4 linked regions of the Notamacropus eugenii genome follow. The protein of the gene in region 3 interacts with the protein of the main gene of each other region in a biochemical or structural test. Links are inferred from orthologs where the notes say so. Each region holds a gene or a part of one and is shown on either strand. Other genes may lie near its edges.

Region 1 (6,944 bases), on a different chromosome or scaffold from region 3:
CCAGCTGCTTGACCACAGATCGTGTGTGGCCCCTACTTTATCAGTCATCTCACTGACTCATATAAGTCACTGAGATGAAATGAGTGGGGTCCAGTCAAGTGGCTCTCTTCCTCTCCTCATTACCGGGGGAAAGAGGAATTCTCTCCCATTTCCAACTAAGAACAAATGTCTTGCTGATTGTGGACTGCAATCATTATAGAATATCAACTCTGGAAGAAGCTTTAGAGATCACCCAGTCACCTCATTTTACCAAGGAGGAAACTGAGGTCTAGAGAAAAGTAGTTAGCCTAAATGTACATTACTATAGTTATCACTTACTCACTTCAGTCATGTCTGACTTTGTAACTCTTTTTTGGGGGGAGGGAGGGTTCCTGGCAGAGAGACTGGAGTAGTTTGCCAGTTTCTTTTCCAAGTCATTTTACAGATAAGGAAATTGAGGGCAAAGAGGGTTAAATGACTTGCCCAGGGTCATACAGCAAGTGTCTGGGGCCAGATTTGAACTCAGGTCTTCCTGTCTCCAGGCCTGGCTCTCTATCCACTGCACCACCTAGTTGCTCTAAATGTACATTGCTACTTCAATGAAAAACAGACACAGAACCAAGAGCCTGGGAATTTTTGCCAAACTTACCAAGATCATGCAAAATGAAAGAATTTCAATTTTCCAAAAGACTTTCTGCCCTCATCGATTAACAAGCATTTATTGAGCATCTGCTGTGTGTCAGATATTGTGCTAAGGACTGAGGAAGCAAGGATAAGATTGAAACAATCCCTGCCTCTGAGGAGCTTCTATTTTGAAGGAAAGAGGAGAGAGATGGGTGTGTATAAACATATATAAAACACAGATTCAAGGTAACCTTGGTGGGAAAAGCAGCTGGGAGGACAAGGAAAGGCCTTGTGCAGACCAGACTTGAAGGAAACCAGAGATTCTAAGATGAAGAAAGAGAGCTTCTAGACCTGGGGGACAGGTCCCTGAGAAGTGATTAGGTTAGCTCCCATTAGGTTAGTTCCCATTTCATGGATAAAGAAAGTGGATTGTAAAACAGAAGATCTGTGTTGTAATCCCCATGCCACCACTAATTCACTACATAACCTTGAAAAACACACTTCTGTTCTCTGGGGCTTAGTATCCTCATCTGGCAAATAGAGATAATAATGCTTACTTGACTTGCTTTGCAACGTTATCATAAAAATCAAATTTTGGTGAAAGTACTTTGGAAAGTACTAAATGCTCACCCTGAAGAAACATATATATGTATATATGTATATATACGTATATGTATACATATACACATATAATATATATAAAATATATTATATATACATGCGCACACACACACACACACACCTTATTCTCTCTAATCACAAGATTCTGAATTGTTTGGTGTTAGGATCAAACATAAATCCAATCAATTATCTGTGAGGAAGAAAAAATCGCAGCAATGACTACTCACTTAAATTCTGCTGGTATCTAGAAAAAACAACCCTTTGTTGTTTTATATATACATACAGAGAGAGAAAGACAGAACTAGAACTAGAAAAGATGTAAAAGGTCATGAAACTCAATCCCTTCATTTTACAGATGAGGAAACTGAGGCACAGAGAAATGAACTGATTCGCCTACAGTCACATAACTGATAATTGTCTAAGATAGGATTTGAACTCACCAATTTGAACTCACCAGTTCTTCCCAACTCTAACTCCACTGCTATCTCTACTATTCCACACTGCCTCCTCGGAAGACTCTCAAATAATCTGAACTTAAAGGCCAATTTAACAGCCACACATTTCTACCCATTTTTCCAGAGTTTCAGTTTTACTTCCTCCCCGTTCAGCAACTGAACTCTACCCTATATAAAGTTCTTCCTTGTTCCCAGACCTACTTAAATATGCCAAACTCTTTCAAAAGGTTAAAAACAAATCCCTTATTCCACATATATTTTATATCCCAAACCAAATTTCCAAATATATAATTTTCACTTTGTCAATAAATCTTCAAAGATACACACACACACACACACACATATTTATTCTCTCTTATCACAAGATTCTGAATTGTTTGGTGTTGGGATCAAACATAAACCCAAATCAATATTCTGTGAAGAAGGAAAAATCACAGCCAAGACTAATCACTTAAACTCTGCTGGGGTCTAAAAAAATAAAACAACCCTTTGTGTGCTGAATGGGAATGAGATTGGCCATAGAAAGAGAAAAAAAGATTATGAAGTGGCTCACTTTTTCCAAAAATCAAACAGCTGCCCACTTGGAACTTTCATGACATTTCAAACATTATTGTTAAATGCAAGTGTTTTGGACTAAGCAAAAACTTTTTTTACATATGTGCTAATAGGATCATATTTTTATATGTCTTTATTATCTTCCAAAAGAGGAGCTTCTAGTCTTTTATCTTTTCATTAAAAATGTAATCAAACCAGTTTAATTGTAATTTATAAAGTCCCAAAGTAGACAACATAATGTAGAAGAAAGAAAGTTGTCTGACCTCCTTCCCTCATCTGTAAGATGAGAGGGTTAGATCTCCAAACTCTCTTTGGTTCTAAATCTGTAATCCTAGACAAGATCCTAGGCAAGACAGAAAGGGGGGAAAGAGGTAGAAAAATCTACAACTTACAGTTCTCTTGACCTTTCAGTCTTGGACCTAAAAAATAAAAAAAGATCAAGTGTCATTATCTCAGAAGCTTCAAGTCCTATAAAATTTAAGGTATAAAATGAAAATAAAAACTTACAGAACCAAAGCATCCCCAGAAGAACCAGATACATCTTGTCTTGGAGTAATAGTTGCTCAGTCTAGAACCCAGGAATGCTCATTCGCTGAAGGTTAAGTCCGACCAAGGGGCTGGTAGGAAAGGTTGTCTTCAAAAGGGGTAATAGATAAGCAAGCCTTAGTGTGAAAAGTTAAGATTCACTCTTGGAAGGATTTTCCTCTTTGTGAATAGCGAATGGCCAGTGGCACTCACTGGTCAGGTAATAGCTGCCATTACTGGAAACTGAAAACAATGAGCTTCTGGCCGGGTTTGATAGCTACTCAGGAAATGACTGGCCTTTTCCTGAGAGGCTGCTGAACTAATTTTCTTTGTTTAGTTTCTTAAAGTATATTTGAAAACAAGCAGCAGAAATGACATTTGTCTTGGCACACCTGTCAATCTTCCTTCTGGCTCCCCCAGAATGGGGAAGAGTGGGAACTCCCTCATCTTTTAATGAAGGGACCCTCCAATTTCTACCTTCCACCTAGGGAGACTTCTCCCTTGACTCAAGAAAGATATTCAAGACGAAAGATATTTCTTCCCTTTAACTATTCTCATTTTAAAATAGTCGTGAATCTAGATTTTACTGCTAAGCCCATGGTAGGGGGAAAAAAAAAAGCTTTGCTTTGCCAGAATCATGAGAGTTTGCTAATTAATCATAATATCATATTTGTGTAGCTCCACGTGGTTAAAAAGTACTTTACAATCCTGAAAGATTCACTGTTATCACCATTTTACAGAGGATGCGACTGAGGCTAAGGAAGGTGCCCAGGAGTGCCAGGGATAGAACTCAAATTCAAAGCCTTATGACTTTAACTCATTTGTTTCCGAATGGTGTTATAGACAAATTGGTTTTCCCTCCCATTCTATATTCCAGCTCCCCATTCAACCAAAAGAAACAAAAAAGGATTTGTCTTCAATTTTCTAAAGATTAAAGTCCCAGAAGAATTCAAGAAATGCTGGTTTTACGAGGTAATTTTCAGGACCAAGGCATTTGGTAGTAAACAGACATGCTGTGGAACCAAAGTAAATTTCTAAAACATATGTCATTCCTTTACATTCTCAAAGAGAAAAAAAAAACCTTTAGAATTCTATTGGAATATAATCTCTTATTTCAAAAGTAAACTTTGAAGTTTGAAAATAAAAACAGAAAAGATGCTTCCTGGTACAGTGAGGACTGTTTTAAAGTGTTACGGAACTTATCAGCACACAGTAAGGGTAACTTATTCTGATGTCCACAGTCAAGGGAACATAAACACTGCAAAATCTAAGTCTCCCGGTCCATTTCCCTTTTTCTACAGCTTTCTGTGTTTGCCTTTCTCAGCTTATTCAGCTTGATGTTCCTACATCCATTGGTTTTTGTGTATATCTTATTATCTCAGTTTGTCCATGTATGCATGCATGGTGTCTTTTTGTTAGTTTTTTACTGTGTTTCTGTGTCTGTCTGCTTGTCACTCTCCCTGCAATTTGATTGAAGTGCAGAATATGTACAGAAAGGGTGGGATATGTTTTTGTGCTACATAGTGGTTTGTTTGAGCTTTTTTTTTGTGGGAGGTGGGGTGTACAAATGTAATATATACATAGTACCATCTTGGTGTTGTGTCAAGGAGATCAGGACAGTGGAGATTGGCTGCCTGTTGATTCTGGCAGAAATCACACTAGTGTTTCCTTCCTCAATCACCCAGGGATTTGCCCTAACTTAGGGACTAACCGAAGGAGTCTGATGTGACTCATAGATTTATTCTCCCAGACAACAGGATGGTGGGCCACTGGAGAATGCATTAACACAGAAGTGGGTGTGTGCATGTGCATGTGCGTGTGTATGTGCGTGTGCATGTGCGTGTGTGTGTGTTGGGATATTGAGGGGGGGGGGTTCAGTAACTGAGCTGAAGATTGTGTCCTGGGAAAGAGGAAGATGTTTAACTGTAAGATTTGGTGCCAGACTCTAGAATCAGAGCTGGGCACCAGGCATACTGGGAAAGATGCCACCAAAACCCACTCCCCAGACTATAGACCCATAGGAAAGTGATTTTTCTATTTTTCTCCTTTCTTCTCTTCCCCTCTGTCTCTCTTCAGAGCCTTATTTTCTGAAACTTACCTTCGGTTCTTAAGAGTTTGTTTACCTTTCTGTAACACAGACTATGTTGGTCCTCACTGCCTGAAAGTCAGGTATGTTACATTTCACTCTGCCCTTTGGGTTCTCCAGTATCATTAAAGTGATTTGGGGGGTCTAGGTTCTTGTAGCATCAATGCGATACCCACAGCAGCTGCTATGGGTATGTATGTGTATTTCCAGGGTAAATTCTCAAAATATAAACTCTCTTCCTCAAAGATGAAAAAATATTTATTCCAACACCAGAAAGCCAATTCCACCATGGTAACAACAAAGTTTGTACACATTACCAATGAAGGGAATACAGGTATCCCCAAGCCTTCCCTCTCTTAGGCCACCCCACAAACAAGTTCCCCTAGGCAAAATTCCACTCTTTCTCACTCATGCTAGCTGCTCTGCTTCAGCTCTGCCTCACTCTCTCTCAGCTCCACTCATTTGGCAAGCTCCTCCCACAATTGACTCTATGTGACTCAAGCTGTGGGCTGGGCCAAAGCTCAAAGCAGGTCACATGAGCCTACTAACGGGCAGGGAAGATCTTCAAATTCCCTTAACTTTACAGTTCTCTGCCATTGGCTCCAGCCCCCAGTAATTGTCTTCCTCCCCCAAGTATAGAGGACTATGCTCCTGTACCCCATTTCTATCAGTCACAAACAGTCAGACTGGAAATTAGAAATATTTACTTCAAAAAATGTAAGCACAAGCACACTCCCAATAAGTGGAGACAGGACGCCCTCTCTGTCTCTGGAGAGGGAAAGAGGATTAGGTTCATAGTTTAGCCTGGTTCCCATAGTACACAGTTCCGGTTCCAAGTTCAAAACCCCCTCATGGGCTCTAGTTGAAGGCATCCTGATTTCTCAGGACTTTCATGCCATTCTGACTGGTTGCACCACCCCACCTGCAATCCTAGCTCCCAGGCTGAACCATGGCTCAAACTCCCAGACCCATTGACATCACTTCTAGCACCTGTAACTGAAGATGGCAAACAGCACAGGACAGTAACAAACACCCCCTAGACCTATTTCTCAGAAGTGAGAGTAAAAGCGAGGGAGGAAGGGAAGTACATTTCTTCCCCTTTCACTGGTTCACTTCATGGCATCCAAGCTGGGCACGTCAGAAAACTTGGTGGAGAAGAGAGTAGTCAAAAAGAACAAGTTTTAATCTTGCCAGTTTTAAAGACGTAGGCAGCCAATCAAAGTAGACTCTCCCCATCCATGTGGTAGGGGTCATAGCTGACTCCATATTAGGTAAATCTGGCATGCTCAAAAAAGCATGTTCAAGACGGGTGTCTCCGTGTTAGAACTAGGCATGTCCATCGAAGCGCAGGTTGCATTTCTGTTTGTGTTGTCTTTTCAATATAATAATATAAAGATCATAAATACAAAGAGGGTGGGATTCCTAGGACCAGCCCTAATATGCATGTTAAGGATAGGGGAAGGTGTGATGACATACATGCAGACATCAATGAAGAAGATGAAAAGAAAAAGTTGAAAATCAGAGAAAGAGAGACAGAGATAGAGATAGAGCAACACAGAAGTAATCGTTTGTATAGATAAAACATGTGTGGCTATGCACAAACATATTGGAAAGGGGCCGTAAGGGAGCACTTGGGATGGCAATTTACAGCTGTGGTGTACTGCCAGAGCATTTCCCTGACTGGAGACTCAGAGCTGAAGATTAATTGTTTATAACTTTTCAAGGTAGAGGAAATTCTTTTATGGGTGCTCTGTGTGTGTGTGTGTGTGTGTGTGTGTGTGTGTGTGTGTGTGTGCATGTGTGTCTGTCTCTCTGTCTCTTTCCTTCTATCTCTCTGTCTCTTTCTCTGTCTCTTTGTAGTATTAGCAGTCTTGGGGGCAGGGTGAAGACAGGATACTGGTTCTGTATCTAGCCTGACTGATATAGAAGTCATGGGCATTCATTCATTAATTTGTTCCTTCCTTTCTCTTTCTTTCTTTCTCACTTCCTTTCTTTCAAATTCTTTTTTATTTGTTTATTTTTGCCCCAGGACTTGTTTTGATAGGAAACTCCCTCCCAGACAGATGGGCCCAAGAGAGTAGGTAAGAAAGTCAAGTCCG
Region 2 (7,406 bases), about 17 Mb from region 3:
GCTCCAAGCTCTTCTCTTCTCCAAAGCTCTCTCAGATTGCCATAGCTCGATCTTGAGCTCTCTGTCTCTGTCTGTCTGTCTCTGTCTTTCTCCCTCTCTCTCTGTGTCTCTCTGTCTCTATCTCTCTGTCTCTATCTCTCTCTGTCTCTGTCTCTCTCTCTCTCTCTCTCTCTCTCTCTCTCTCTCTCTGTTTCTCTGTCTCTGTCTGTCCCTCTGTCTCTCTCTTCCTCTCTCCCTCTTCCTGTCCCTCCCTCACTTGAGCTCCTAGGACACTTGCGGCCTATGCCTCTCATTTAGGAAATAGCATTTCCACCCAGATCTAGTTGGAGTCAATTCAATAAGCAATGAATGAATGCTAAAGAAATGCCACATAGTGAGCTAGACGCTGGGGATAACAAAGGCAGAAACCGGTCATGCTCATCTCAAGGAACTCATGTTCTCCTGGAAGGAGACAACATGTGCACAGATAAATAAATACAAAGTATAAACAAACAACACAGAAGTCATTTTAAGAGACAGTGAGCACTAACAATGGAGAGGGGGAGGAACACAATGCAGAATTAGGAAAGGTCATATGTAGAAGGTGTCATCTGAGCTGTACTTTGAAAACAATAAGCTAAGGATTCTATGAGGCAGAGGTGAGGAGGGAACAAATTCCAGACACTGCAGGGTCAGTCCATGGAAAGACCCAAAGATAGAGATAATTACCTTCTCCCATGTTTGGGGCTTCTCTTTGATTTATCAACGCACTAAATTTCTCTTAGCTCTAGAGCTGAAAGAGATCCCAGAGGCCATTTAATCCAACCCCTTCATTTTACAGATGGGGAAAATGAGGCCCATGGAGGTTGAGACTTGCAAGTAGTAAGCATCAGAGATGAAATCTGAACCTAAGGCTTCTGACTCGAAGCTCTGTGAAACAAAGGATGGTGTCTTGATCCTTGACAATTTCCAAGCCCCAGAACATGTGCAAGGTGGAATGGTGAAGAAAAATGACATCCCTCATTGTTCTGAAACCCAGAAGGTCCTCTTCCCCCTTACATTATTTCTGCCAGATTTAAGGATAAGAATGTGCTATCAATGGTGCCTGAAAAAGAGACAACAGATCTCTCCCCGTCCACATTCAGATAATCTGAGCTCTGATGATTCTCAATAATAATAAAAATAATGAAAGGGTAATAAATCCCAGCTCAGTCAGGAGGGCCTTAGAAATTCCTCAGAGGGCCCCTGTGAATCTTGGGGAGCAGTTGCTCCTCATTCACTGTCTTTCTTGCTGCTTGCTGCTCCCCTGGGTTAACAACTTCATTGAGAAGCCCCAAACTCTCCAAGCCAGGAACTAAGGATGTGAAAGCACCTGTAAAGGCCCTGAGAGTCAGATGCCCCACCGCCCACCCCAAGATAGAGCAAACAGGCCCAAGAGCCAAAGTACTGTCCTAACCAAGCCTTTCCATCTCTCCTGAGTTCCTGCCCAGACATCTGCTGGAAGCCCTTTCCTGAGGCACTGTTCTACATCTATCAGAAAACCAGGGGATGGAATGTTACAAGGGAAGACCCTGATCATCAGCCAGGGCAAGAAACTTTAAACAAGAGAAGGAACAAAGCTAAAGTTCCTTTGTTAGGGTTAAGAATTAGCAGGTCTCAGCAGACAGTGAAGGAAGGCTGGAGTGCAAGTCAGACAGCTACTCTCTGAAGGAGCTCTGTGTGTCACCCTTGGCAGGTCTCTGGCTCTCTGAGTCTCAGTTTCTCTTTCTGAACAATAAAAGGATCTCTAAAGTCCTTTGGTTCTGCAAGTCTGTGGTTCCATGTGGCTCCTACAATATCAGAGCCAGACTGGGACCTTAAGAGATCCTCCTGGCCAACCCCCTCACTTCATTCCAAACCATCTCCTCCCCTATAACTGACCCAGGCTGGGCCTCCGCCCCTCCCACAGCAGTTTGGAGTTGGGAACAACCACAGACAAAACCCTGAAAAGAACACACAGGGATGGGGCTGGGGGGTGGGGAGGTGGGAAGGGCTCATCAGGCTGCTTTTCTCAGGACCATTGGCTCAGAGATTCCCAGAGGAGAAAGGCAAAATCCTGGCTTTTAAATGTAATGCCAGACCTTCCTGAAGAGCCTCAGGACCTACTCCTGGGGCAGACATTCCTGAGATTGAGAAGGGGGGAAAGTATTCTTCAGCGATCACTGATTAGTACCCCACCATCTCTACCAGGTCAAAGCGGTGGTGATGTCGGAGGTGACGGTACCGAGATGTGGAAGGAGGCCATGATTAGATCTTGCTCCAGAACACCCAGGAAGGGTCGGGGATAGGGAGAATCAGGGGGTCAGAGTTGAGGGGACCCCCAGTGGGGGCTCACAGAGGACAGAAAGGAAGGAAGCCAAGGTGGCCCAAGCTGAGCTACAGAACCTGGGAGACGTTGGACCTGCCTGAATCCTAGGGCTGGGACAGATCCTCATACTGGGGCCCCCCGGAGAGACCTGTGACTGAACTCTGGGAGGTCAGGGGCCAAGGTCAGCTCCCTTCGACCGGGCCGTGGCAGCCCCAGCGTGTAGGGCTGCTCTGAGGGGCCCCTCGGACCCAGGGCTCAGGGATAGAGACCCTAGTAGTAGAAGATACTCACCTTCTCCGGAGATCAAGCCACACGAAGTGATCAGCAGCAGCTGCAGCAGCAGCGGGAGCAGCCCGACAGTCAGCGGCCGCACGGCCCCCATGGCCCTGGGGACACAGACCGACTGACAGTCGGGGGGCGGCGGCAGATCGGGGGGCGAGCGGTGGGTCAGAGAGCCCGGGGCAGGCGGGAGCAGGGGGCGGCGGGCTCCATCCCGGCCCGGGCGGGCAGGGCAGAGCGGGGCAGAGCACGGCAGGGAAGGGCAGCGCGGGCCCAGGCGGGCCGTACCCACGGTCCTTTAAACGCCCCGCGCAGGAAATGTGGGTGGGGGGCTGCCCGCCCGGGGGCACGAGAGGGGCCCGGGAGGGGCGTGGGCCGGGGCCACCTCACTCCTCCCCTCCGCCTCCTCCCCCTCCTCCGCGCTGGCTGGGCCGCGTCCAGCAGCAGCCCCGCGCCCCGCCCGCGTGCCCGCCCCCTCCCCGGAGATCGCGGCCCCGGCCCAGGCCCGTAACCCCCCCGCTGCCCGGGGCTGGACGGCGCGCCTGCGGATTGGGCACTGCCCCCTGGAGAGCGGGCCTCGGCCGCGTGCTGGGCCCCCCCAGGCCCCTGCTCTGGCCCTGTCCCCTCCTTCTCGTCGGCGGCCCCTTCCCCGCAGGCACCAGCGTTCCCCGCTCCTTGCTCCTCGCTCCCCGCTCGAGTCTGGCCAGTAAACACAGCGGCCCCGTCAGCTGGGCTGGGCTGGCCCTGGCCGGGACGCTGGAAAAGACGGCGCGGAACAGGAGAAGGCTGGAAGGGAGGGCGCTGGGGGCCCCAGAGGCGCGGGGGCGGGAGGGGAAGAGGGAGATGAAAGGGGCGGGGTGGGGCGGAGCCAAAGGCGGGGGTGGGGGAGAGGAGAAGAGAGAGGAGGAGAGGGGGGGAGCAGGAGAGGAGGGGGAGAGAAGGAAGCCCCCGGAGGTGGTGCGGAGAAGGTGGGGTGAAAGGAAAAAGGTTCATGACATCCGATAACCTAAGGGCCCCTCAAGATCTGTGTTCTAAGGACCCTGCCAGCTTTGATGTTCTGTGTTCTAGAGTTCCTTCCAGCTCGACATTCTATGTTCTAAGGTTCATTCCCTCTCGGACATTCTGGGTTTCCCAAGGACATTTCTTTAGTCTATGTTCTAAGTTTTCTTCTAGCTCAGCCGATATTTTAAGATCCTTTCCAGTTATGCGTTCCAACAATCCTCCCAGTTCTTGACATTCTATGTTCTAAGGTCCCTCCCAACTGTGACATTCTGTATTCCAACACACACACACATACACACTTCTTGACATTCTATGATCTAAGGTCCCTCACAGGTTTGACAATCTGTGTTCTCAGATCACATCCAATTCTCACATTCTATGTTCTGTGTTCTATGACTGAATCTCAGAACAAGACCTATAAGAGTTCAGAGGGAATGACCCCTTCGTCCTTCTTGCCCTTCTGCTGCTGAATTCCTACCTATCCTTCAAAGTCCAACTCATAAAGACATCTCCTCCAGGAAGTCTTCCTTCATTTCCCCATTACCTAGTTGGTAATATCTTCTCCTCACATAAATATTTGTCTCAAACCTTTGTAATCCATATGTAATATTTGTTATAGCTATCTAAACCATAAGCTTCATGAGGAAGCACATGGTATCTTACCCAGTTTGTATCTCCTTCAGTGCGTAACACCAGGCTCTGAAAACAAAGGTACTTAATACATGTGAGGCAAAATAACTCATTGATTCTGTCGCTTGTTTTAGCAGCTCTCCAGGAAGGGAGTTCTGTTAGGAAGGGAGAACATGAGTTCATTGTCCTCAGCTTAAGAAGTAATGTATACCAACAGCATTATCCAAGGACAGGAAAATATATTTGTCATATAATGGCTGTGAAAGTTTTAGAGCCATAAGGTGGGATCACAGAGTCATAGGTTCAGGTCACTTTGAAGGACATAAGTAGGGGCAGAGGGCAAAGTCTCAGTTCCCAAGGAATGAGCAGGAAGAAGAGATTGTTTGATTCAGCCAGAATCTACATGAATAGTCTTGGGCTCCCTAAGAACAGCAAGATTTTCCCGAACACCTTTCCTGTCAACTGAATCATCCCTGCTTGTCAGTCCTGAGCAAAGTAGTGCATCTCTGTCTAGAATCACAGTGCCAGGCATTCAGAAGAAGAAAGGCCCCCAAAGTCCGAGTAGTCTACCCTTCTTTGGACAGAGGAAAAAACTGAGCACGGAAGGGGAAGACCCTGGCCCAAGGTCTCATGGTATGTCAATAGCAGAGCCCAGAACACTGACAAAGAACTGCTGCTGGATTGTCTCCCTGAAAATAAATGCCTGTTTCCCATAGACTTCACTCTAGTCTCTTTAGAACCAGACGCTGGGGAAAGCTTTCATAAAGGGTAATGCAAAACCTCCTCAAGTCACTAAAAGGCTCTCTGGGATTTGGAACTATAGACTTGATCAAATATAGTCCAGCAGATTTGCTGATGATAGCAAATATTCAAAAGAGGAAGGTTATAAGTGTAGGAATCAACCTAGACAAGTACACGCCAAGTGGAGAGATGCTACACTCAGAAACCTTAACCAAGCGAGAACCATACTAAATATGAGCAAGTCCACCCAATCAATTAATCGCAGGCTTGGACTAAGTCCTAATTGATCAATTTAGATATCTTTGAAATAATAATAATGATAAAAGTAGCTAGCATTTATAAAATGCCTTAAGGTTTGTAAAACCTTTTTTAAAAAAGTATTTTCTGATTTTTATCCTCACAATAAACCTGTGATGGAGGTTATGACTATTACCAGTTTACACGTGAGGTAACTGAAGCAGACAAAGGTTAAATGACTTGCCCAGGATCACACAGCTAGTAAGTATCTGAAGTGAGATTTGAATTCAGGTGTTCCCTCCTGCTTATCCAACACTACCATTACCACATCCACCTGTCTCAACAGCCTTGAAAGCTACTGGATGAACCAAAGAAAAGTTGTACCTTAAGTCTGGTTTAGAGACTTGGTCTCATTCTGCACCCAGTAGGGCTTCTATAAAACCAGCAAGCACATTCAACTCCTGGATTCCGTTCTAATTGCCTTTCCACTCAAGCCCCTGAAAGAGAATTTCTAGGGGGAGGGGGAGGATTGGAACCAGCATCAGTCTCTTCCCCACTCCACCCTCTTTAACCAGAAGATTTCTGTGAACTTTGGAAGACCAGAGGATTTGAACTTTAGTGTCCCAGGGAACAACAGCTCAGAGAAGCAGTGTCTGCATCAGGAAACAAGGATATAGACTGGACTTGATGAGGAAAGGCAAAACTCAGTGTTTTTTCAAACAGGAAAGGGACACCATACCTATCTAAGGCAAGGTCCTAAGGACTCCTGCCAAAGGATTTCTGAGAGCTCCCCTTGGCCACCTGTGTTCTCTAAACTCAAACCCACTTTCTGGATTCTGTATATACTTATAAGAAAAGTGTAAGGATGACTTTTAAGAGATTACTTTGTTCCAGCTATACCACCATAATAAATACTCACTTGTAAAAGCTGATTACGTCTTGCTGATTAGTTAATAGCGACTGATAATCATGGGGGAAGCCCACCAGTTAAGGGCTCTTAAACTGTAGCTGTAGAAAGATAACTTCTCTTTCTACCTTACTCGATGCCCTGAGGGCTAAACCTAGAATCCTAAGGGAAAATAAAACAGCAGGGTTTTGAGGATGCCACTTGCCAGGGGCCAGTAGGAAAAGTACCTTTGGACCTGAACTATAACCCCAAAACCCAAGGAGGACAAGGAGAGAAAGATCCCACATACACCAAAACATTCATAGTCCCCCTTTCTTAGGCAGCAAAGAGCTGGTAACAAAGTAAATGCCCACTTATTGTGAATGACTACACAAATTGTGAGACAAATGGAATGAGAAGCACCACAAGTAACAACAAACATGAACAATTCCAAGAAGCATCACAAGACATAGCAATGGATTCAAAGTGAATTAAGCAGAACCAGAAATTAATATACACAATGACTACAACATAAATAGGAGAAAAAAAGAAATTGAATGATATGTAACTGTGACCAAACAACCCTAGAGAAGGATTGAGAAAATGTACCTCTCTCCCTTCACTGTCAAGGTTCAGAATATTGAATACACTCTTGATTAGTTTTACTGAACTGCTTTGTTTCTGGTTGGTTTCTTTTTAAGTTTTTCTTATCATAGAGAAGTATCAGCATCACTTGGTAGAGGAGGGGAGAGGGATACATCCAGACGTGAATTTGATATAAAAACAAACCCTAAAATTTTTAAATAAGATTTTAAAATTTAAAATAAAACAACACAGCATATATGGATTTATTTTATGTGACTGCTTACTTATTTTGATGATTTTATCTTTATTTGGGAAAAGAATTGGGGAGAAAGACCTGGAGATACCATTACAAAAAAAAATAATAAAAGAAACAAAAAAGATAATTGAAGTATTTTTAAATGTACAAAAGAGAACAGAAGGGAAGTTCAGAAGGAAACAGGCAAGCAGGATAGCTCTGAAAGTTATACATTGAATTTATTCAAATTAAAATCAAGGTGTGTGTAGAGATCCATAATGTCCCATAGAAAATCTTCTCTTTTTTATTTTAAATTGTATGTGGGAATGTTCTGTCTTTTTGGTGTTTGTTAAATTCAAAATTAAAAATGTTTCATTTAAAACAAAATAATATAAATGTCCACATAGCCCCCAAGAAGATGGAAGACAGAAAAGCACTATATCTAACAAAATATTCATAGCAGCAGTTTTGTGGTAGAAAAGATT
Region 3 (7,161 bases):
CAGGGTCACACAGCTAGTGTGAGAGAATTTGAACTCGGGTCTTCCTGACTCCAAGTCCAGCATTCTAGGCTGTCTGACAGTGATTACTATCACAGTTACTATTCCTGTGCTGCTGTTAACTAGACAGTTTTCTTCTCAACAGCAGAAGCGAACTGGAGGAAAAGCAGGCTATCCGTCATTTAAAATTCAGTTAGACCATTTGGGCAGCTTCACCTGGCTAAGACTTTGCAGTTTCCAAAATCATCAGGCAACACAACTCTTACTAAGGAGACCCTTTCCTGTACATCCCCCTCCCCCCTTTCCCCCCATGCTTTTCATGTCCTAGAAAGGCAACTCCTTCCTAGTTCAGAATAGCAGACCTTGAACAAAGGCTCAATGGTTACTTTGATAGATGAAGTAACACACAGACAAAGGCTCCGAGAGAGGACACTTTAGGCCACAGCCACACAGCGTCTTGCTGAAATGCACCCAGATCTGACAGAGCTTGGCATCACACCTGCCCAGGTCATTCGCTTCCTAAAGTTTCCAGGTTTGGTTTTTCCCTACCCCAAACAATCACGGAAACAAATAGAAAGACAAAGATGCAGAATGAAAGACACAAAGACTGAGAGAAAGAGTATTAGGGAAATATTCCTAATTTCTTAAGAAGCTTCCCATTTGGATCATACCCTGTCCCAATGCTATTATTTAAACATCACAAAAGAGTGGTGATGTTTTGGGACTGAACAAAACTGAGCAGTCATCAACCAAAAAAAAAGATGGGTCTATAGCCAGTACAACCCATAAAGGATTAGTAACATCTGGTAGTAATGATAGGTCTGACTGAGGGCAACGAAGTGCCCTGTACAGACTGTACAAGCTTAATAATAGTTAGAAAGTAATAATTCATTCTTCAGCCTACATCTTTTCATCTAAGAAACCCAACGCACCTTGACACCAATTCTCACTAATGCTACTGATTCTGTCCAGAAGAGGAAAGAGCTTGACAGTTGCCAAGAATTGGACATGAATAACCTGAGGAAAGGACCTAAAACTACCTCGAGGCTTACTTCGGGTCTGCCTAACCAATGCCAGTCCAGAGAGGCACTGCCTCAGAGTGGCTAACTAGGAGCATTATTACATACACAAGCACCAAGAACCTCTCCCCCAAAGGAGGGTGGCTGTGATTTCTGAATAATTATTAGGCAATTTTCATGAAGCAATGAGTAAGGAATGTAGTGCACAACCATGACCTACTTCAGCTTTGTATCTTCTGCTTATAAACAATCCCTGCCTTCCAGCTTGGAGGCACTAAAAGAGTCATTACTTAGAGCAGAGTGGAATGAATGAAGAGATCACAAAAGAGAAGAGCAGCTGGGAGCAGAGTCTCTACCCTGGTCCCCCTTGGATGAAAACAAGAGGAAAAGAAGGTAGAGTGGAAAGGAGTACTGATCAGTGTTTCCACGAAGAGACCTGAGGAGAAGATCCAATTCTGACACTTAGTAGCAGTATTTCCATATTTCCATGAGCAAGTTCCTTCCTTTCTGGGAGCCTCAGTTTCTTCCTCCATTAAATGGTAATAATAAGGCTGGTATCTCACAAGGTTATTATGAGAAGTGCTTTAAACCTCATGAAAAGGTGTTTATTATTTTTCCAATACCAAAAACTAAATATATAGAGGAAAGTGAAAGACACACAGCTGGGAAGGGGAAACGAAAACGGGGACATTCCTGGGGAGACAGAAGGGAATCAGGAGATCCCCACACCTAGCAAGAGCAGCAGATTCCTGAAGGAGGGTAAGAGGGGGAAGGAAGGAAAATGAAAAAGGAAACAGAAGAGAGATAACAAACTGTGCTAAATGCTGGAGATGCAAAGAAAGACAAAAAGACAGTTTTTGCTCACCAGGAGAGAGGAAAAAGAGGGGAGAAAGGAGGGACAAATAAAGAGAGGAAGGAAAGAGAGAAGGGAAAGAAAGAGGGGAAAGAGAAGAGACGGAAGGAGAAAAAAGAGAGAAAAGGGAAAAGAAGAGGGGAAGGGAATAAGCATTTATTAAAAGTCTACTAGGTGAAAAGCTCTTTACAAATATTTTCTCATTTGACCCTCACAATAAAGCACAAGGGGGAGGGGGGAGAAGAAAGTGAAGACGAGAGGGAAGAATGAAGAGGAAAGAAAGAGTGGAGGGGAATAATAGAGAGGGAGGAGGGGGAAGGAACAGAAAAGAGAGAAAGAGGGAGAGGGAGAAAGGTGAAAAGAAAAGGGGAAGAAGAGTGAGAGCAAAAGGGGAGAAGAAAAAAGAATCGAAAGGGAAAGGGGAAGGGAAGAGGAGAGGAAGAGGGGATAAAGAAAGGGAGGAAAAGAGGAAGGGGAAAAAGAAAGGAAAAGGGGAGAAGAGGAGGTGGAGATGAAAAGATAAGGGAAAGGGGGAACAGAGGGAGGGGGAGGGGAGAAAGAGGAGAAGGAGAAAGATGAAAAGACAGGGGAAAGGGGTGTGGGAAAGAAAGGGGGGAAAGGGGAAAGGGAGAAGGGATAAAAAGGGAACGGGGAGGGTGGAGGGAGGGGGAGGGGCGGGGGAGGGGCAGAAGGGTAAGAGCCAGAAGAGGCGGCTGGGGGAGGGGAGAGAACAGACTCCACTGCCCCTCCCCCAGCCCGCCCGGTGGGGGAGGGGGTCTCGCGGCCGGGGAGGGGGAGGGGCGCGCGGTGCTTTGTGGGCGGGCGGGGGTCGCGGGGGTCGCGGCGCTCACCTCCGGGATGTCATGTTCCTCCCGCTCCCGGGCTCCTCCTCGGATCCGCTTCCTCAGGGGCCGGGCCGGGCCGGGCCGAGGGTTAGCGCGGAGCCCGCGGCGCTCCGGCCGCCATCCAGGCCTCGGGATCCCGGAGACTAGAGACGAGCCGCCCCCCCCGCCCCCCAAGCGCCTCCGCTCCGCTCCGCTCCCCCGCGCCTCCGCCCCCGCCCCTCGCCGCCCGGCACCGCGACAGTGACGCCATCGGCCTGCGACGCCAACCTCCCGCCAGGCCGCCGGTCGGCCCCAAAAGCCTCCCGCCGGCCGCGCGCGCCGCGCACTTCCGGCTTCCCCCTGCGCAGGCAACTGCGCCCCGCGCCGGGGGTTCCGCCCGCCAGCCTGGGCCGCCCCGAAGCAAACGGCCGCGAGGGGGCGCTCTGGTGTCAGGAGGATCCGCGAGCTCCGAGCCAGCGCCCTCCACGTGCCAGGCACTGGGCCCGCGGGAGGCTCCCAGGGTACACGCTGTGCCGGCCCAGCTTCCCGTCCACCCCCTTCTGTGCCTGGCACACGGCAGGTGGGCGCGAGAGTGGGTCTGGAAGCTCAGATCCAGCGTCAGACCCTGGGCGAGCCAGACATTTAACCTGTGCCTCAGTTTCCTCATCTGTAAAATGGGAGACAAAGCACAGGCGCCTACTCAGTCAATTCCCGCGGCTCCCTCTTACCTGCAGGAGCCCTCCAGCATGGGCCTTCCTAGCCCAGCCCAGCCTGTCTGTGCAGGCGTCGCCCCTCACTGCCCAACCTGGCCCCGGGGGCACCTCTCGGCTCGGGCTGCCCCCGTGCCTACCAGCCCCCTGCCTCCGGACTCTCCCAGCTCCTCCAGGAAGCCCCTCGTGAGCCTCCCCTCCGCCACGTGCTCCCCCTCCTGCCCTGCGGGGCCGGTGCTGTTCGGATCTGGGGGTTTCCTCCCCTAGACTGTAAGTCCTGGAGGCCAGGCGCTGCAGGTTGCTTCATTGTATCCCTGCTGCGCACCGCGTAGTAGGTGCTTAATGCGCGCTTACTGAACGGAATTGAACCTGCTTCCCAAACACGTTATGAGATAAAATGAAGTCATATTGGTAAAGTTATTGGCAAACCTTAAGGAGTTGTATATATCTAGCTGACACCCCCTGTTCTAAGAACCCCCCAGCCCTGACACCCCCTGTTCCGAGGCCCCTCCCAGCCCTGACACCCCTTGTTCCAAGGCCCCTCCCAGCCCTGACACCCCCTGTTCTAAGGCCCCTCCCAGCCCTGACACCCCTTGTTCCAAGGCCCCTCCCAGCCCTGACATCCCCTGTTCTCAGGCCCCTCCCAGCTCTGACACCCCTTGTTCCAAGGCCCCTCCCAGCCCTGACATCCCCTGTTCCAAGACCCCTCCCAGCCCTGACACCCCCTGTTCCAAGGCCCCTCCCAGCCCTGACATCCCCTGTTCCAAGGCCCCTCCCAGCTCTGACACCCCTTGTTCCGAGGCCCCTCCCAGCCCTGACATCCCCTGTTCTCAGGCCCCTCCCAGCTCTGGCACCCCTTGTTCTAAGTCCCCTCCCAGCCCTGACATTCTCTGTCCTTAAAGGCTCTCCCAGCTTTGACATTCTATTAAAGTGGAAATAACACCAGAACAAAGGATTTCTAAGATCAAAAAATAGCAATCGTGATGTTAGAACTCAAATGCCAAAAATGCCTGCTTGAAAAATGATCTTAATACTCCCACAAACACTTGCTAAGTACGTTTTTATGTGGGAGTTATAGAAATATTAGGTTAACCTGTTAGTTATGTTAAGACATGAGATTTCTTAAATTTTCTATTTCGTAAGCTCTTTGATGAAAAGGATAGAGCCCTGAGTCTGGAGTCAGGGAGATCTGAGTTCAGACATTTACTGTGTGATCCTAGGCAAGTCACCTAAACCTGAGCTTCTTCCTTTGTAAAGCAGAGGTGACCTCCTGGCCTCTATCTACCTTTATCTGCCTCAGTTTCCTCAACTGTAAAATGTAGATATTAACAGTACATACCTCCTAGGATTGTGATGAGATAATTATTTGTCATGGAATAATATTCGTTAAAATAAGTGCTTAGCGTGGCATCTGGCACATATTGTTGTCTGTTGGTCCTGTCCAACTCTCTGTGACCCCACTGAAGATTTTCTTGGCAAACATACTGGATTGGTTTGACATTTCCTTCTCCCACTGATTTTACAGATGAGGAAACTGTGGCAAACAGTATTAAGTGACTTGTCCAAGGCCACACAGTTTTTAAGTGTCTAGTGCTATATTTGAACTCAGGTCCTCCTGACTCCAAGCCTGGCACTCTATCCACTGTGCCACCTAGCTGCCCACCTGACATAGAGTAGGCACTATGGAAGTACTTATTTCCTTCCTTTCCTTTCAATACTCTTTGAACTTTGAATAATAGTGATAAGCTAATATGTACATAGGAATTTAAAGCTTGTGATACTGTTTGTGTATATTAGTATATGACCTTCAAGACAACTCTGTGAGGAAAGAGCTATTATACCTATTTTACAGCTGAGAATGGTTAAGTAACTTGACCTTTACTTGATAGCTCCTTAATCTAACTTGGGAATCAAACTCAGGTCTCTCTAACTCCAAGTTTGTCCCTCTTTGTACTTCAGCCAAGTCTACTGTCACATGAATTGGTAGATTATTAGTTTTATTTTTAATCTGATGCCACAGAACTTCTTTGGAGAATTAATAGTTACAAAGTATTTCATCCCCTAGTAATCACTGGAGCAAAATATTTCTAAGACCAAAAAATGGAGACTCTGTAGAACAGAGGAGAAAAGTAGCATCGGTTCTGGAGTCAGCAAGTCAAGCCATCACCCGTCACAGTTTGTGATGTCATTGGTCCAATGAAGGACCAACCACAAGATCTGCTCATGTATTCAAAGGTAACCTGGTGTAATGACGAAGAGTACTAGACCTGGACCTACCACCCAGGGTGACTGTGAGGATAAAATGAATATTGGTACAGGGCTTTGCAAACCACAAAGCAACATATAAATGAGAGCTATTTGGTTGTTTTTATATAAATGCTCAAGTCACCTACATAGCAGCTATATGATCATGTGTAAGTTACTCCCCTTCTCACAATTTCAATTTCTTCATCTGTAAATTGAGGCTAAAAATAATTGTCCTCTTTGTTATGAGATGATGCTACGCAAGTGCTATGTATGAGTATGAGGGTTCTTTTTTTCAATTTTTATTTTAGATAGAACCTGTGGTTTCATTGGTATAAGGAACTCCTAGGAAATTCTGTCTCCCAGTGCAGGTCTAGGTGAAGCAACTTGCCTAGAGTCTCCCAGTCAGTATGTGTCCAAAGCAGGACCAAAGCCAAGTCTTCCTGGGCTCTCTAGCCATCATGCCACACCCTCTTAATGTTTATATGTTTTATATTTAACTTAATATTTAAATATATGTTATACATTTATAGTCAAAATGAAGAAGTTTGACTGGATAATCCCTAAAGACCCTTCCTTCTAGTTAAAAACATTGTTTCTCATTTATTCTAAGGTTCCTTCCAGTTCTGATTGCAGATAACGACATTTTTCTTACATTATGTCCTACCCTTTGGTCATTCAAGAGTTAACAAAAGGAGATTTACTTAGCCATAGCAGAAGAATATTCAACAAGGATGTGGCTTGAGGAATCCCTGAGCTGACCTTGTATGAGCTGACCATCATGCTCTGCCAGCCAAGCAACAGGGAATCCTGGTCCTCTCGGCTGTTTTGGACTCTACTGACCAGGAAATGATGTTTAAAAGCCTAATAAGCCTTTAAGCTGTCTTAGCCAAACAAATCTCAAGGACAATTTCAGTATCTAAAACTATCCCAACTTGTATGAGAGCAGAATTTAGGATTTTCCCATGAGTTAATGCTCCCACCACAGGGAAACTGAGGACCAGAGAGGGGAAATTGCTTGCGCGTTGTCACAAAGAGTGAGTACTTGAATCCAAGCCCTCTGTCTTCTCTCCCAATGTTCTCTCTACTAAAAAGATGTAGTTGTTAAATATGAGAACTAGAAGGAACTATCATTGTACAGAAGAAGAAACTGAGACCTAAAGACTTTCCCAAGGTCACACAGGTGAACTCAACGAGCGCATTATTAGTATAATAGTATTATTTGTTTATATGTATATCATAAAAGTATTATTAGCTTATAAGGTAAAACTTAGATGTGAAACTTCACCTCTTCCAGGAATTACATCGGGATGACATGGACAGGAATATGTTATTTCCCATTAGTTGGACTCCTCTTAAATTAGATGAACTCCTCTTAAGAAACCTAACAACTCCATTATATTAAAAAATGAAAGGTTCCTCTTCTTTTGCTTGAACTGTATCTTCAGAGTGTTACAAAGTACTCTGTAAACCTTAAGGTGCTGTATAAATGCATGTTCATACTACGATTTTCT
Region 4 (7,864 bases), on a different chromosome or scaffold from region 3:
AAAGTGCTTTGCAAACATTATAGCACTGTACAAATGAGCTCCTTTTACATAATAACAACAATAATAAAAATTTCTACTACTTCCAAAAATGAGTTCTGTAGTCTGGAGAACTTTGATGATTTGTGGTTCCCATTCACTCATGCCATTCCCTCTTTCTATAATGATCTTTCATCAACTGTTTTTATTTGTCAAATCTTTCACAGCCTTCAATGGACAATTAGCATGTCTCTATAAAGCCTTCCCTGGTCATCTTGGGTAGAAATCACAGATTAGAACCAAAAGAGGGCTCGTGTATTGAATTATTTACTCCCCCCTTCATTTTACAAAGAGAACAAGGCCCAGAATTGAAGTCAGTCTAAAGTGGCACCTAATCAATAGCAGAAACGGGTCTTGAATTTTATATAAGGTTTTCTGACTCCAAGTGCACTATATCATACTGATTCCCCTTCTCTTCCGTACTCCCATAGTAAGTATTTAAGTCTGTACCACTCCTATAAAATATCACATAGTCTTACAGAATATATATTTGTCTTATCTCCCTTAATGGATGGTGAGCTTCTGTCTCATCTACAACCATGCAGTCTACCATACTCTCTGTTCAATAAATATTTGTTTAATGAAAAAGAATGACAGCTACCTACCACGTTAAATACAATAAATACAATGCTTTTAAAACATGTTCCAAGACACACATACCTTATTTGATTTCCTCTATACTTTCTTCTTCCATAACACTCCCTGGGATATTCCTTTGAAAGCAAGTTAGCAATCATATATTGATCACTATATCCAAATCTAACCTGCCTTCTAACCTTATCCTCTATCCTCTTGTATAGCTCAGAAACTTCAGTCTTCACACACACACACACACACACAAAAAGCCCACAAAAAACCTCCCCAAAAACTACATACAACTTATGTTCCTTCCTTAAAGACATCAACAGTAATCTTCTGTTCCAGATTCATAACAGAAATAAATTTAGTTTCTTTCTCCACTTCATAAACAAGAACTCAATGCTGTTGTGACTTCCATCTTTTTATATAACTTGTGATTTTTTAACTTTTCTTCCATTAACTCAACTGGGCTTTGCATTTTCCTTCTTTAACACTATATACACATTTACTGCAAATGGTTGGTTTTTTAAAATGTCATCTGTCTTTAAGCTGTTGACTTTTCACAGTATTCTTTGAAATATATTGAAATTAGTGAGAAAATAGACTATAATGTATTTGCTAAGCTTTAAAGATTAAATGCAAACATGATATTTAAGATCTGCAGTGCAATACGATCTCCAAGGCACTGAAAACTAGTGTCTTGCTTCCAAAATGAAAAAAAAAATCAATACAAAACTTACTGGCTCTCTAAAATTATACCAAAAGCAGTTTCCACCTATAATCTGCCTGTCAGAGAAGTTTCTAGTAAATGCACTTATATAAAGTTTCAAAAGCAGAGCATCACCTCAAAATGAAATTTACCATGAAAAATATGATCACATCTATTCAATTCGTGTTAACCTCTGTTTTTGCACACCTTATAACAGTTTTATGAAAAGTCACACAAGTCCATATATAACAGGCCCAAATAGAAAGCATACAAAGATAAAGGCGAACACATAACTTCTAAGTTCTCTATAATGTTGACCTAAATTTCAGTAAGTGTATCAACCACAGATTAAGCTCAACACTTTTTTGTTTCTCTTTTTTCCACCTCAGATGATTCTTCTTAATGCTTCATTATTTTTTTAAAACATCACTTTCACTTTCCAGGAACACCTCACCCCATGGGCTCCCTCCCTCCCCACTTCAAACAAAGCAGTGCGGTTAAGGAATACACACCAACCCACTATACTGACAAAAATCTGACAATGCAGTTAGACCTCATTCCACATAGGCGAGAGGAATGTTTTTGCATTGATCAGTGTTCTGCTGATCACTGAATATTCTTGGGCAGCCACAGGAATTCAGAGATTAGAGGAGAAACTCGACAACAAAGTGCAGGCGCCTACCTAAACTACTCATTTTCGCAAGAAAAAGAAATCTGTTTTTTAAGTGTAGTGAGTAAAACTCCTGAAAGGAGCTGTTTAAATTTAACGCAACCCGAACCAAACTCTGAAGACAGTCCAGGACAGCTGGAAGCGCAACATCTCCTTTAAGGCCTTCGAGGGATCCGAACCCCAAAACACAAAACTTCTTGATTTGCAGAAGTTTCCCGGTCCCCTCGGGCTACACATCGCCTCAAAGATGGGGGATCAGGGAAGCAGCCACATCCACCTTCCATTCGGGGATTACGAATGGGAAAGGAGACTGAGCAAGGTGGCGGTGATCAAGGAGAAAAAGGGGGTTCTGCTTGTCCCCCGAAACTACTCCGACTCTACACTGCCCGTATCTCGTTTGTACACAGTTGTTTGCAGGTTGTCTGCCCAATTAGACGGGGAGATCCCCGGGGGCGGGGCCTGTTTTTTGCCTTTCTTTGTATCCCCCAAGTTTAGCACCGTCCCCAGCGGGCCACCGGCATTTATTAAGCGCCTACTAAGTACGAGGCACGGGGCTAAGAGCTAAGGATACAACGAAGAGGAAAAAACAAACAAAGCCTGGTGCCTGCTTGGAATAACTGCTGATTTGCCTAGGGGGAAGCCAAACTCCCACGAGACGTAGCCCCGGGATCCCCGCTTCAGCCCAGGCGCCCCGCCCCCCCGGGCCCAGGTCGGAGCTCCCCCGGTGGGAGCTCTCTGCCCCGAGCTTTCCTGCGGGGTCCAGCCTGGGGGAGACCCCAAGACGAGGCCGCCGCCGCCGGAGAGCTGGGGAGGCAGGGCCCCTGCATCCCCCAACCTGGGCACGGCGTCGCTTCCCCCCAACCCCCCGCCCTGGCCCTGCCACTTACTTTGCTCCATGAGCGCCGGGACAGCGGGGCGCGGCTCAGGGGACGCCGAGCCCTCGGGCTCCTTCCCCGGCTAGAGGAGGCGGCTGTACCCCCCGCGATGGAGCCGCAGCGGCGGCGGCGGCTACAAGGCCTCACTCTGGCCCAAAGCTCAGCTGAAGTGCTTCCGGTTGAGGGGGTGGGGAGTAGGGAAGGAGTCTGGCACCGGAACTTCTTGGGGAAGAGTGGGCGGGGATTTGGAAAAATGGGCGGGACCCCATGGGGGCGGGACCTCGGTTGGGAAGGACCGGCACCTGACGTCAGGGAAGGGGCGGGGCCAGAGCCGAGCCCGCGGGGGTTAGGTGGGGGCACCCTGGAGCGGCCTGTTGGGCGTCTCTCGGGATCCCCGGCCCAGGCCCTGGGGAGGCGTGCGTGGAGTGTCCCGGCTTCGCTGCGGCCTGGACCTCGAGACTGCTGTACCAGCGGGGACCTGCCCGCACCTGGGGCTTCGCATCCGCAGTTAGAGCTGGAAGGAGCCTTGCAGGGAGATCACAGAGTCCAGGGGTCCTTAACCGGCAGACCGGGACTTGGAAAAATTTTTGATACAATTTAATAATACCCCTAAATCAAGTTCCATTGATTATCCATACTTATTTGTATTGACAGTTGTTACTGATTTACAATGAGTCATCAAGTTTGGCTTATTAAATCCACTGATAATAAATCGATATTTTTCAGATGAACAATTATTGGTATTAAAGTACCCGGATGACCATTAGTTGTGACTTATATTGTTTACTTTGATCCATATTAATAATTATTAATGTTTATTTGTGTATCAGTTTACACCAGTGGTCATTAATAGGCATTTTTGTTAATTATTTACATTGATTTCTATTAATAATCATTAATGGTGATTTATATAATAAACATAATAAATTTATATAATACACAATGGTGATTTATGTATATTAATTAATGTATGTTGGTCATTATTAATCGCAGTTATATCAATTTGCATAGGTGGTCATTAATGTTAATTTCTACCAACCCTTATTAATATTAATATATGCATATTTATTAGTATGAGCAGTTGTTTATATTAATACACATTGATGGCCATTAGTAAATAATTTATGCTATAAATTGCTTACATTGATTTATATTCATCAGTAATGTTGATTTATATAATCATTTTAAATATTACTTTATATTGATCATCCTTAAAGTTAGCAATTCTTGATATTAATTTACATTGGTAGTCATTAATAGTAATTTATATTAATAATTATTTACATTGATTGTTGATCATTGTTGATTAATGTAATCAATATTAATCTATATGGATCATTATTAACATTATCATTAATTTACAGTGACTGTCATTAATGCTAGTTTATATGAAATTGTTAATATTAATCTACACTGATAAGCATTTTATTGTTTATTATTTTTATTTTATTAAATCTTATTATTTATTAAATAATAATATATCATTATGGTATTGATTTTATTGTTTAATACAATGTGATTTATTCTGTGATCCTATTTTTTTTATATAGCTTTAAAAATATTCTGAGAAGGGCCCCATAGGTTTCACCAGACTGCAAAAGGGATCCATGACACACAAAAAAGGGTTAAGAACCCCTCATCTAGTCCAACCCTTTCATTTTACAAATGAGGATACTGAGGCCCAGAGAAGTCAAAGGATTTTACCAAGACTACACAGATAGTGCCAGAAAACTTGGATTCTGTCAACAATATTAACCCCCTCATCCTGGCCAGCCTTATAGTTTCAGGGAGACCTTTATCTCCTCCACATCCTTCAGCCTATATATCCAAGGTCTTAAGTCCTGGCACTGAGCCTTGCTCACTATAGGCACTTGAGAAATTTTAAAATTAAATCATTAATGCGTATTTGTTACAAGGGCTTTGTTTTCCTGTTTGGGGGAAGGGAGAGAAGGGATTATATAGTCAAAAGGATAATATAGTCAAAAAATAAAAAAGGAAAAAAAATAGAAAGAAAAGAGGGTCATTGAAGTATCTTTTTTTTTAAATGCATAGAAGAAAAAATCTGAATCACAAATAGAACATCTTTGAAAGTTATATATTAATTTTATTATACTTATATTTTATATATAATATGCGTATAGATTTAAAAGAAAAGTAAGCTGTACATAACAGGTCTACAGTTTCATGTACAATCCTCTTTTATACATGTATTTATATACACACACATATATATACACATATGTATGTGTATGTACATACACACATATACACAGATGCCCATTTTACCTGGTGTTTAAATTCAGAATAAATAAATCAGCGACCAAGTGCTATTAAGCCTTCATAATGTCTCTTGAATCCCCTTTTCACTTCAGGGGTGGGGGAATTGTGGCCACAGGTCCCCCATTCCTGCTTTAGTTCAAGCCCTTATCATCTCACACCTAGACTGTTGCTACTTTAGAATCAGAAGGGACTTTAGAAATCACTTAATTCAACCCCCATGCCACATGCACATGCTTTCTGTCTCCCTTCCTCCCTCTCTTCCTTTCTCCTTCCCTTCTCCCCCCCCCCCCTCACTCTCTCCCTTCCTCTTTCTCTGTCTCCCTTTCTTCTCTTGCCTTGTCTCCCCCCCTCCATTTGTAGTATGAAAGGAAGGGTCTTGATCCTGGAACATTTTATAGGAGGGTGTGGTGGCCAGGGAAGAAGGTATGGTTATAAGATAAAAACGTAGATAAGAACCACACAGGGATGAAAAGACTTGGAAAGGGAGATCCTTCCAGTGGGAACCATGAAAACTCCCCTGAGCTTAAAGTATACTTAAGGCTAAGCAATCCTACTGATGTATATCTTCAAAGCAAAAGACAATTCAATAGCATAGCAAAGTAAGTGACAAGAAAAAAAATCTTTCCTACCATAGATATGCAAACACAGTCTCTCACAAGTTTTCACACCAGTGGTGGGAAAGAAGAACATTCATTGTTAAAAATTGTTTTAATTAGGGGAAAAGAAAATACTCAATAAATAATTTTTAAAATACTCAATTTTTTAAAAAGACTCCCCCCCAAAAGAATATTCATACCTGGGCAACATGTATGACAGCACATGTATGGAGCCTCCTCAGTCATCCATGGGAACTCATGGGGCTAGGGAGCATTATAGTGAGAGGTACTCATGCTGTTTGGGCAGAGACCCTATTAATGCCATTTTCTGCCTCCAATGTTGCTTCTTGTTTCCTTAGGTGATGTCACACTATGAGCAAGCACTGTCTCTACTGAGCTAGGGTCCTCTCTGTTGCTATCTCTCCATGATGCTATTGGACTCTGCTGCTGCTCACTGGGCTTCAGTTGCTGTAAAGCCTCCTCCCTAGTAGGGAGGTCTTAGGGAGGGGGGATATTGTCTACCAGTTCTTAGGGCTCAGAACCTCAGGGGGTTCCTTGGTGATTTTAGTCCCCACCCAGCTAAATAGAGAAGTCCTCAGGAATTTGAGTCTGCCCTTTGAATTGAATTCCTCTGCTGCCACTGGGATTTATGATCATAACCCACAAAAGAAAGAATCCTTTCTACAACATGTGTCTGTCAAGTGGTCTGTCTTCCAGCTTTTGCTAGAAGACCTCCAATGATGGGGAACCCACTACCTCCCAAGGCAGACTGTTCCTCTTTAGGATAGCTGGGAATTGTTGGCAGCTTTTTCCAGTCTAAATTGGCTGCTCTGTGACACACTGCTTCTAATTTGGCACCTTGAGTGAAACAGAATAAGTCTCAACTCTCTTTCACATCAGCTCTTACGTAGTTGAAAACAGTTGCTATACTAGGTATATGACTCTGGGTAAGTCACTCAACCCTGTTTGCCTCAGTTTCCTCATCTGTAAAATGAGCTGGAGAAGGAAATGGTAAATCACTTCAGTATCTTTGCCAAGAAAACTCCAAATGGGGTCATGAAGGGTCAGACATGACTGAAATGACTGAATTCCCCCTCGCTCTTTTATAGGTTAAACTTACAAATTCCTTTTCCCAGTCCTCATTTAACATGGTTTTGAGGTCCTTTGTCATTCAGGTTGTCCTCTTCTGAATGTCCTACAACTTATCAATGTCCTTCCTAAAATGTGATACTCATAACTGATCACAATACTGCAGATATCATCTGACCAGGGCAGAGTGGTGTGACTTACTACTTTATTTCTATTAAACCTCCCTTAATCTGTTGTTCTTCAGTCATTTCAGTCATGTCTGACTCTCCATGACCCCATTTGGGGTTTTCTGGGCAAAGATACGGAGTGGTTCGCCATTTGCTTCTCCAATTCCTTTTACAGATGAAGATGAGGAAAATAGGGTGAAGTGACTTGCCCAGGGTCACACACCTAGTAAGTGTCCGAGTCCCTTGCTGAGCTCAAGGCTTCTTGACTTCAGACCCAGTGCTCTATCCAGTATACCACCTAGCTGCCCCAAGTCTCTCTTAATGCAAGTCACCAAAACCACCAGCTCTTTTCAGACAAACTGCTTCCTAACCATGCCTCCCCCATCTTGTACTTAGAATATCACCTTGGGAGCATGAGCAGAAAGGGGTTAGATGGAACTTGTAATTATGGCTCTATTTGCCTTCACTGTGGCTTTCATGGGTGACTTTTGTCCTACTTCTCCTTCCCACTCACCCCCACCCCAGCAACCAAACCATTACTCCCTATTATTCTCCCTTTTGGTTGCACTCTGTGTCAGGGCTTACAGTTCCCATACCAAATGGTTTTCTAGAAAGATCCCAGGATTTAGAGGTAAAAGACCCTGTGTGAATCCTGACTTTGCTACTTGCTGATTTTGTGCAAATCATAGGCCCTAACGTTGGCAGGAACCTCAAACACCATCTACTTCACACACACCACACAGATACCCCTTAATTTTACAGATGAGGAAAATATGGCCCAAGGGAGTTTAGGTGACCTGCCTGGGATTATACAGTTAATTAATAGCAAAGACAGGATATGAACACAAATCCTCTGATTCAAG

Evidence for each region.
Region 1: the proteins of PTPN11 (region 3) and PECAM1 form a complex in vitro, tested with the Homo sapiens proteins (4 studies listed by BioGRID, with this or other methods). The link is inferred for Notamacropus eugenii from reciprocal best matches to the Homo sapiens genes PTPN11 and PECAM1.
Region 2: the proteins of PTPN11 (region 3) and INSR form a complex in vitro, tested with the Homo sapiens proteins (2 studies listed by BioGRID). The link is inferred for Notamacropus eugenii from reciprocal best matches to the Homo sapiens genes PTPN11 and INSR.
Region 4: the proteins of PTPN11 (region 3) and FRS2 interact in a test that uses a peptide from one of them, tested with the Homo sapiens proteins (2 studies listed by BioGRID, with this or other methods). The link is inferred for Notamacropus eugenii from reciprocal best matches to the Homo sapiens genes PTPN11 and FRS2.

Annotation. Positions count from the first base shown.
Region 1 is NC_092873.1:327,459,808-327,466,751, forward strand, and holds the start of PECAM1 (platelet endothelial cell adhesion molecule), read right to left. Parts: upstream 3,021-6,944; 5' UTR 2,776-3,020; coding exon 2,742-2,775; intron 2,654-2,741; coding exon 2,627-2,653; intron 1,755-2,626; exon of another isoform or gene 1,665-1,754; intron 1-1,664. UniProt on the Homo sapiens protein: Cell adhesion molecule which is required for leukocyte transendothelial migration (TEM) under most inflammatory conditions.
Region 2 is NC_092875.1:51,121,500-51,128,905, forward strand, and holds the start of INSR (insulin receptor), read right to left. Parts: upstream 3,002-7,406; 5' UTR 2,709-3,001; coding exon 2,618-2,708; intron 1-2,617. UniProt on the Homo sapiens protein: Receptor tyrosine kinase which mediates the pleiotropic actions of insulin.
Region 3 is NC_092875.1:33,754,228-33,761,388, forward strand, and holds the start of PTPN11 (tyrosine-protein phosphatase non-receptor type 11), read right to left. Parts: upstream 3,008-7,161; 5' UTR 2,735-3,007; coding exon 2,721-2,734; intron 1-2,720. UniProt on the Homo sapiens protein: Acts downstream of various receptor and cytoplasmic protein tyrosine kinases to participate in the signal transduction from the cell surface to the nucleus. Positively regulates MAPK signal transduction pathway. Dephosphorylates GAB1, ARHGAP35 and EGFR.
Region 4 is NC_092874.1:246,983,755-246,991,618, reverse strand, and holds the start of FRS2 (fibroblast growth factor receptor substrate 2), read right to left. Parts: upstream 3,018-7,864; 5' UTR 2,882-3,017; intron 1-2,881. UniProt on the Homo sapiens protein: Adapter protein that links activated FGR and NGF receptors to downstream signaling pathways.